Linked DNA regions of Coturnix japonica. The protein of the gene in region 2 purifies or fractionates together with the protein of the main gene of each other region. This does not show direct contact. Links are inferred from orthologs where the notes say so. Each region holds a gene or a part of one and is shown on either strand. Other genes may lie near its edges.

Region 1 (4,778 bases), on a different chromosome or scaffold from region 2:
GGATTTCTGTCCGTCGGTGGTTGGTGGGACGCTGATGTCGACTACGTTGTTGCCAGGAGATTCATCGTGCGCAGACCGGTCTGCGATCTGCTTCTGAGAGACAATGCGGTAGATTTCTGAAATGAGAACAGAGCTGTTGGGGCACAGGAAGGTGTTCCCTGCAACACAGCACGCGCTCACCTCGGAGCGAGCTGCCAGGAGAGGGAAGATTCAAGCTGTGAAAGGGAACCAGCTGTGCAGTGTAACGTCTGGGTGGCTTTCCAGCTCTGCCTGGAAGACCTAAAGGTTTCACCCTTCAGCTCCCGGTGAGCCGTCCCTACTGAAGTACAGGACCACCCGCTCCTCTCCGTTACAAATCAGTTTCCCCATCCGTGGCAGTAAAAATGAGGTTCCACGCAGCCCCACATTGATCTGCAAATGCCATCCCCGACAGAATTCATTTCATTGACTCCAAATAACTCATGCCTGAAAGCACAGATTCACCCCAGCTGTTAAAGGCAGCGTCCAGGTTAGAAGCTTTCAGAAGGAAACCATTCCACCTGCAGCGCCAGTAGAAATAAGTGGAAATATTTCTATTGCGCTGACTGTAGGACCTCATTCCAACTTCCCTCCATTGTGAGACAGGAAAAGGGCAAGCACCTCCCTGGAAGCCTGCAGTAAATATTATGGTCACATTCAAGCAGTCACAGCCGCAGGACAGGAACAGCCAAAGCCTTTAACAAGGGTTTTAAATGGTGGGGAATTGTAGGGTTTGGGCTCTTTGGTTTTTTTGTTTTGATGGAGCTCCAGTTCTGGCTCCATCTGTTACACAGGCAGCACTGAACTCTCCTAGAAAAACCTCTGGCCATTTTCTGTACCCAGAGTCAGGCTCAGAACAACACAACGAGGGAAGACAGGATGGATGGTGATGGCTGAGCCACGCTCAGGGCACTAAATCCACCGATACCATCTCAGAGCAGCACACGAGTCACCTCAGATCCAGCCAAGTGTCACAGATAAGCAGCACCTGCTCTCAAGGCCACCCTGCACAAGAGCTCAGGCTGCAGCTGCTCTTCTCTACAGCTCTGTCTCAGCAGCAGTATTCTCCAGTTACTTCTCCAGCAGCTCAACCCAAATCTTGCTGGGGAGCAGAACGTAACCCACTCTTCATCCATCAGGCTTTTTTACTCATAGAAGCAGCTTGACTACCCTTTTTTTTCCTCCTGCCCACCTCCTCTTGGTCATCTTTAACTGTAACACACCTCTGTGCTCACAGAGCTGCTCAGACCGACACCACAGCTCCTGCCTGTTTACCTCCACACTCTGCAAAACAAACCTGAAAGAGCCTTCAAGAATTCACCAGGTCAAAACTCAGCCATTTCCCCAGTAATAGGCTCTCATTCACATATAATCAAGGCACAGCAATAATAACCAGTTCTCTGGTCAGCGTCCAACAAGCAGCATACATCAGACACTTCCTGACAACCGAGCAGTACCAGAACAAAGGCTCATTCTCATTTAAGTTAAATCAGCATCTTGTCACCAAAAAACAAAAAATGCTCAGGAAATGCCCTTCTGGAGACGTGGTGGGACGTGTACATCAGGCACAGCTCCACAGAACAGTGCATGAGGGTGAGAATACAGAAATAGTTTATCCTCCCAGAATTCAGCTATTGAACCATAAAACTCAGGTAATGGGCCCACATCACTCTCAAGGAAAGAGAAAGTTCCCCATGCGTGTGGGTGGGGAAAAAGGTGCATGGGGTGGGGGTAAAACAGAGGTAAGGGGAGGCAGACTGCAGACATATAATCATTCCCAACACTCATTTCCAAAACAGTCTCAATAACTGCAAACTGTGCCCATGAAGAAGATTCACTATGTGGTAGGTCCACAGAACCCATAACAAACCATACCTGTAAGGATGTTCTTGAAGGCTTCTTCTACATTTGTGGAATCCAGAGCAGAAGTTTCAATAAAGGACAGGTTATTTTTTTCTGTAATAAATAACAAGTGGTTCAGTTAGGAACTCTATGCTCTCCATAGAACCAGGCCTCTAGGAATGAAGGACAGACACTCTGCATTGTGATATTTGACACTATATGAGGTATTTTCTCCTCTGAACATTTCCTGCTGTTTTTCAGCCTTCCCAGAGGAACTGTTTATGCTTCAGGTATCGGGCAGCTCAAGGATGCTGTTTTACAAACATGTGCTACCAACAGATTCAACAAGAAAAAACACCATCCACTATTTAACAAGCCAGCTACGAAACCTCCAATTCCCCTTTTTTTTCCCACATAATAATAAGCACAAGGCAAAAGTTAAATACTGGACAGTAGAGTGACCAGCACACTGAACTTGAGAAGCACCTGAAGGCCCCACATACCGACCTGCAAAAGCACGGGCCTCATCAGTGGGCACAGCCCTCAGGTGGCGCAGGTCGCTCTTATTGCCCACCAGCATGATGACGATGTTGTTGTCTGCGTGATCCCTCAGCTCCTTCAGCCAGCGCTCCACGTTCTCATAGGTGAGATGTTTGGCAATGTCATAGACAAGAAGGGCCCCCACAGCACCACGGTAATACCTGGGAGAACACAAAGGCACATTCCTTTAGAAAGGTCCAACAAACCCATTCAGAAAGCTGCGCTGATGCAAGTACTGCAGTTCTGTATGCTTTGTGTAATAACCATCCCCCAGAAATGAGTTCCAAATTCCAAATACTAATCAAATAGCATGATATTGTTACCTGATTACCTGGATCTACAGCAAGACCTGCCACAAGGATTCTGTCCCATCCAAATGCATTTCATTCAGTCCTTACCCGGAGATGTATCTGCCATAGTCCCAAAGAAAGACACGGTACTCACGCTGAAGTAATGGCACGGTATCTCTCCTGCCCTGCAGTATCCCAGATCTGTGCCTTTATCGTCTTCCCATCCACTTGGATGCTCCTGGTAGCAAACTCCACCCCGATGGTGCTCTTGCTCTCCAGGTTGAACTCATTGCGGGTGAAGCGGGACAGCAGGTTGCTCTTCCCCACTCCGGAGTCCCCAATCAGCACCACTGAAAGACAGGACATCATTTACCAGATGAACTCCCCACAGCAGCACTGTGCTGCCTGGCTGCTGCGCTGCTTCAGGCAGGGCCCACAGTAACAAGGGCGACGAGCTGCCCCTTGCATGCCCAGCCTTCTGTGGGATTTACTGCAGTTATTCCAGCCATCACCGTGCTCCCCACAGGAAGACATCTGATACTACAAACAAGCCAGAAAACAAAGCAGGACTTCACCCAACAGAACGAGTTCCAGTGGATTAGATGAGAAGTAGAAGACTGAAACTCTGCCTCCGCACAAGGTGTTGCCATGCTAACAGGAAAACATCAGTGCTCAGAGATTTCTAGGCCCTCCCGATCCATGCACAGCAGATTAGAGAACACCTCTCCCTGCACGCTTTCTGAATTAGCTCACCAGCATTCTCCCATGGCCACGAACTGGGCTGGTCCCTCTGTTATTTCAGCTTTGCTTTATTTTGTGCTCAGGCCATTGTTTCAGGCTCCAGCTTTGGCAGCTCCCACCCCGCTTCTCCCCACCCAGGACAGCTGGAGCCAGCTCCACGCAGTGCTCTGCCCTCCTAATGAACACACAGCTCGAGAAAGCACAGCTGCCTCTCCAGGTTGTACTCGTGTCTGTCCTCTGGCCTGTGAAGATGACCAGTTTCATGCATGAACTCTGCAAAAAGACCCTGGGTCATTAATCCATTGGCTGCAGGAAGAGAATTCAGGCGGTCCTGCTGCACTTTGCTAATTACCCCCTGTAATCCAGGTACCTTCAGTGCCTTCAGCTGCTCCATGCTCTGGCAGAGCATTTCTGAGATGTTACTGAATGCAGAAGTAATAAAGGCAGGCAACCTGATCCAAACTCAGCAACAAGTTCGTGCTCTCTCTACCTTACAATCAGCCTCTTGCTGCTCTCAATCAACTGTCAGGACTTTCTCTTTTAGCAGGGAGATCCAAAGACTGGAGACCCACGTACCTCTATGGGCACAGAGCAGGAAGATGCCTTTAAGCTTCTGGACCAAAGCAATCAGATACTGTGGAAATTCCTCAGTTTGGGAACGGGTTACTCAACAATACAGCCTGTTCAAATGCAGATGGAAAAAGAAAGCCCCAAACCAAAAGCAAGAGCCCAAATCCATACTACATCCATCAGAATACATGAAATCACACCCCTTCCACGGCCTTCGATCCCACTAATAAAGGCAAGGAACACTTGGAAATGACCCGAACCAACAAGTCAGCATCAGGTGGAGCAGTGCAGCACAAGGCACGTGCCATGTCCAGCCTACAGCCAGAATTCAGGGCTGCTCCTTCAGCCCCCCCTGCTTCCAGCTCTGCCCCGTGCCCATCAGTGCACACCACGCTGCCCATCCAACAACTGCAAAGCACTGCAGATCTGGTAACACAAGACCAGGTTTATGGTGGAATTTTAAACAGACCGGTTAATTATCTGTCAAAAGGAGTCTATTCCTTCACACAATGAAGAGGATTAAGCCTCTTCCCAGCACAGCTCATCATAAATATTCAGTACATGAGGTTGCCAGATATTGATGAACAATATGACAAACATTTGTTTCCAATAACCAAACGCCCCATCGGGCTTCAGCTCTGATTGGCGCGCTCTGATTTTCCACAAACATAAAAGAAAGCTCTTATTCTTCCCCCCATGGCCGCTTTTATCCTTTTCACCCCCACAAGGCAGGCGTACATCTGCACAATCTCAGATTCCATTTGTAATATAAACACC
Region 2 (4,026 bases):
AAGGAATGTCTGATTGTCTTGCAAAGCCAGCAACGTGAAACCTTCATTCCTTTCTGAGCTCAAGTCATAAAGAACACAGCTGGATCTGAGTGCTCTTCACTGCTCCCATCTCAGGGGGAGAGCAGAATTTGGTTCCTTTTCTACACTGAACATAAGAAAAAGAGACGAGTTTTAAGCCTGATCGCCCTTGAAGGCTGCTCCAAAATTCAAGGCACTTACATGGAATAAACTGCAATGGAATGACACTAAAATTGTCACAGAACTTTCATACAGGAGCCCCAGGCCATGAATGCATACAGTGAAATCCAATTCAGGAGTGCTGGGCAGAATCCAGATGTTTGTACCTTTGTCTTCCCTGTTCAAACAACCTTTGAATCAGGAATTTAAGTCCAGAGGAGAACAGCTTCCAAACAATGTACCATCAGCCCAAATCCATTGCTACTCCTTATTCCTATGGTAGACAAACATCCCATGATATCTGTGATTAAAACCCTGTATGTAAACCTTCCCCTTGGAGAACTGCTTTGCTTATGTTGTATCACTAATTTCACTTTGCTTCTTCCTTTCCAGTCTGAGGTTTAACTTGCATTCTGCTTCAGGACATTAATTGCTTTTAAAATACAGCCCACACAGCTCTGTGCTGAACCATTCAGCTTTGGACTCCTCCAGTGTAGTTGTCAAAAGATAAAAGCAAAAGCAATCAAATCCTCAAGCTCTACTGTAAGTGATTTTATATTGCACTACAACTTGGGATGCAGACAGATGAGTAACTGATCTATCAAAGCTGCTAAAAAGCAACGATGAAAAACCTTCAACAAAGGACCAGCAGTGCTTTGCTGGCAAGGAAAACACACAAAACAACAACAAACCCTTCATCCTTCCTATCGCAATCAGACTTTGGATTCAATGCCTGAACAAATCTTCCCAAATAATGGAAAAAGACCAAAAAAATAAATATGGTAAATGACTCTACTTCTGGGCTCCATACCCAAGAGCTGATATAAGCACTACTCCAACTGATGGCTGCTCAAGCCAGAAAGAGAAAAGAGCTCATTGTCTGCAGGCAGCACAGCAGTACCACCTACTTCACATTGTCTCCTTATTAATCAAACTCTACTGGCAGGAATTCAGTCCTTTGTTCGATGTCCAGAGAGCTCCTACATCTTTCCAGCTTTTCTGTTTCCAGAAGTTGAAACACGAAGAATGTTTGGGGTTTCTTCCATGACTCTGACAAGCAAGTTATCGATGTAGTCTTCAAGCTCACGCACCTGGAGATCCTTCTTGGTGATCGTATCCTTCTGTTTCAGGACCAGCTGGATCAGCTCATCGTGTGTGAGCTGAGCATAAGCGTAGGCAGGATCTGAAGGACTGTATTTCTGCAAAAGAAAAGCAAGGTCACCTCACACGAGGGCACTGCAGACAAGAACTGAATGCTCTCTAGGAGATGGTTTGGAGTTCAAGCAGTGAGGAACTGCTTTACATTTCCATCTGCCAACACACAGCTGCTCCTCAGAAGTATTACCGTGCTTCCCACCTTTGTAGAGCTACATTCAATCTAAATGGCATTTTGGAATGCTGCTCATTAAAGCTTTATGACTGCTCAGACCCAAAGTGCTGAAAGCCAGGGAGGTCAAATTCAGGTTAAACAGCACAAACCCTCACATAGGCCTGAGGCGTTTCAGTCTTCTTCAGATTACCACCACAAACACACAGCACAGTTTGTCTGATAACTCTGCCTTTAGCTCTTAAACTTGACAAACATTTTAACATGTCAGTCAATAGTATTTAAATAAAACTTTCTTCTTTTCCACTTGTACCAGAAGGAGGCACCACAGGATTAGCTTTAGAGGTCTCCTGAGACCAAGATTATCAGTAAAATAACCCACACTATAAATCTGAGTGGTTATACAAGCTGCAAAGAGATGCTCTTAGGAAGCAGAGGATATTAATGCAACACATTACAAGGCAGCAGACATGCCAAGGATACCTTTTCCCCATCTTTAAGATCCACAAATTTACTTCAGGGCAAAAAGAAGCTTCGCAGACTAATGATGTTTGCATATCAACAGTGATTAATTTGCCCAATCTTTCCTGCTGATCCAAGTTATGCAGATCCTGCATGTCACAAGCAGGACCAGGGCAGCACAGCAATGTCACTCAGAGATACAGCTCTGGATGTCCTGCTCACCTCTAGGCAGTCAGGCTGCAGCCCTCCATCCCCTCCACTCAGAAACCCCTGCTCAAACAGGAGGCTCTGATGCTATAATTGATGAGTTGCAAGAAAATCATAAAGAATGTCCCCACCTCCAAGAAAGGAGGAAAGAAAACTGCACAGTCCCCATGGTCTGAGCACAAGCACAGTCCTGCGTGAGATACACAAGAGACATGATCCTAAGCAAAGTACAGGAGTTGAGTTTGAAGTGCTGCTCTCCACCCTACCTTTATGTTCATCTCAAGCAGCTTCTCATTCATAGTGCTGATGACATTCAGGTCTTTGCTTTGGGATTTATTTGCTGTGGTATTCATTGGCTTCACAGGATGAAGTCTGTAACATTACAAAGGGCTCATGTCATTCATGCAGTACACACAATACTGGCGTTACATCTTCAGAGTGAAAACAAATACAGTAAAAAAAATGGGGAAAAGTCCTTCTCCGCACTCCCTCCCACTCCAGAGATAAAAGATTTGCCTTTGGGAAGATAAGAAATCTCTGCCTCAGCTACAGGCTTCTCTTAGTGCACTCTATTCTTTCTACTGCCTTTACTGACTTAAGGCATTGGAGATAAAGGAGTAACAAGGGAAATATATCCTGAACAACATCACAAAGGAAAAGCAAGGTCAGCCCACAGGAGAGGGCAGTAATACCAGCTGTTATTGCCATCTTTTGTGCACCAGTGAGTGAGTTCTTAATGAGAGCATACTTGTGGTTCTTGCAAAATACCAAATGCTTCTGCTACACTGGGACACACAGGTAGTACAACTTATCTGATCTGACTTTGTGCCATAAAAGGTGTTTTAACTGCTCAGGATTCGTGGTGCTGGTTGTAACAGAGCAAGAAAAGACAAAGCTCACATCAAAAGCAAGGCTCTCAGCACCGAGATACCTTCGATGCAGTTCCCATGTTCTCTCACCTGTGCTTAGGAGACATGGTTTCACCACTCTGCTGAGTTTGGTTAGGGTACGTTTCAGAGGGTGAAACCCATGCCTGAAGAAGCTTCTTCTTGCCAGAATTTCCTGCTTTATCAGCGAAGCCCTCTGCTGTTGGCTTTTTCGGAGACTCTGCTCTCTGACTTGGGGTGTCAGAGGAGAGGGAGCGAGAGGAGGAGCAGGGCTGGGAAGAACACGACAGGGAGGAAGAGGAAACAGAAGGCTCAAAGAAGTCACTCTCTGCACGCTCCCCAACACCAGTATCTATTACTTGCTTCTCAAAACAACTACTGTGCTCACTGGAATGAGACGTCATACCTGAGTCAGGTGCCTGCTTACTGACTTCATGGCCGTGCCCTCCTGCAGGCAGCACGGGCACAGCACTTCCTCCTCCTGCAGACAGAGTTACTCCGCCTGCAGCAGAGCTATCAGAGCTCTCCTGCTGGTTCTCATGCAAAGGTTTTCTACCTACAGACTCTGAAATGTTCTGATCATCTGCAGCAACGCCGTGGTTTTCCTGGCAGTCACCCTGCAGCTCATCATCAGAGCCTGCCTCAGGAATAGCAGGAAGGGCAGCCAGCCTCATGTTGTGATCTCCAGTAACTGAAAGGGCAGACTTCAGATTTGTAAGAGAATCAAACAAATCCTCGTCCCCTTCCTTTCTCACACGTCTGCTACTGCTGTCAGCTCTAAGCTTTACTGGTGGGACAAGAGCTGTCACTGAGCCATTCTGAGGGAGGCACCCAAAAGCACCAGGGGATTTCTCATTCTGTAAAGCAAGGCCGGATGCAGAGCCCTCACCCTCCCCTGACGGCCCAACACTTAACTCATCAGCCTGAGAAACTCGGGGATATCCCTGCATTAAAGACAGCCGTGGT

What was found. The genes of interacting proteins can lie anywhere in the genome.
Region 1: the proteins of RAB11FIP1 (region 2) and RAB11B purify together in Homo sapiens (affinity purification with mass spectrometry; 3 studies listed by BioGRID and IntAct, counting the BioPlex papers as one, with this or other methods). This does not show direct contact. The link is inferred for Coturnix japonica from reciprocal best matches to the Homo sapiens genes RAB11FIP1 and RAB11B.

What each region holds. Positions count from the first base shown.
Region 1 is NC_029543.1:321,754-326,531, forward strand, and holds the start of RAB11B (ras-related protein Rab-11B), read right to left. Parts: upstream 3,075-4,778; 5' UTR 3,060-3,074; coding exon 2,845-3,059; intron 2,562-2,844; coding exon 2,368-2,561; intron 1,975-2,367; coding exon 1,894-1,974; intron 117-1,893; coding exon 1-116. UniProt on the Homo sapiens protein: The small GTPases Rab are key regulators of intracellular membrane trafficking, from the formation of transport vesicles to their fusion with membranes.
Region 2 is NC_029537.1:3,593,708-3,597,733, forward strand, and holds part of RAB11FIP1 (rab11 family-interacting protein 1), read right to left. Parts: coding exon 3,133-4,026; intron 2,546-3,132; coding exon 2,440-2,545; intron 1,377-2,439; coding exon 1,158-1,376; 3' UTR 1-1,157. UniProt on the Homo sapiens protein: A Rab11 effector protein involved in the endosomal recycling process. Also involved in controlling membrane trafficking along the phagocytic pathway and in phagocytosis. Interaction with RAB14 may function in the process of neurite formation.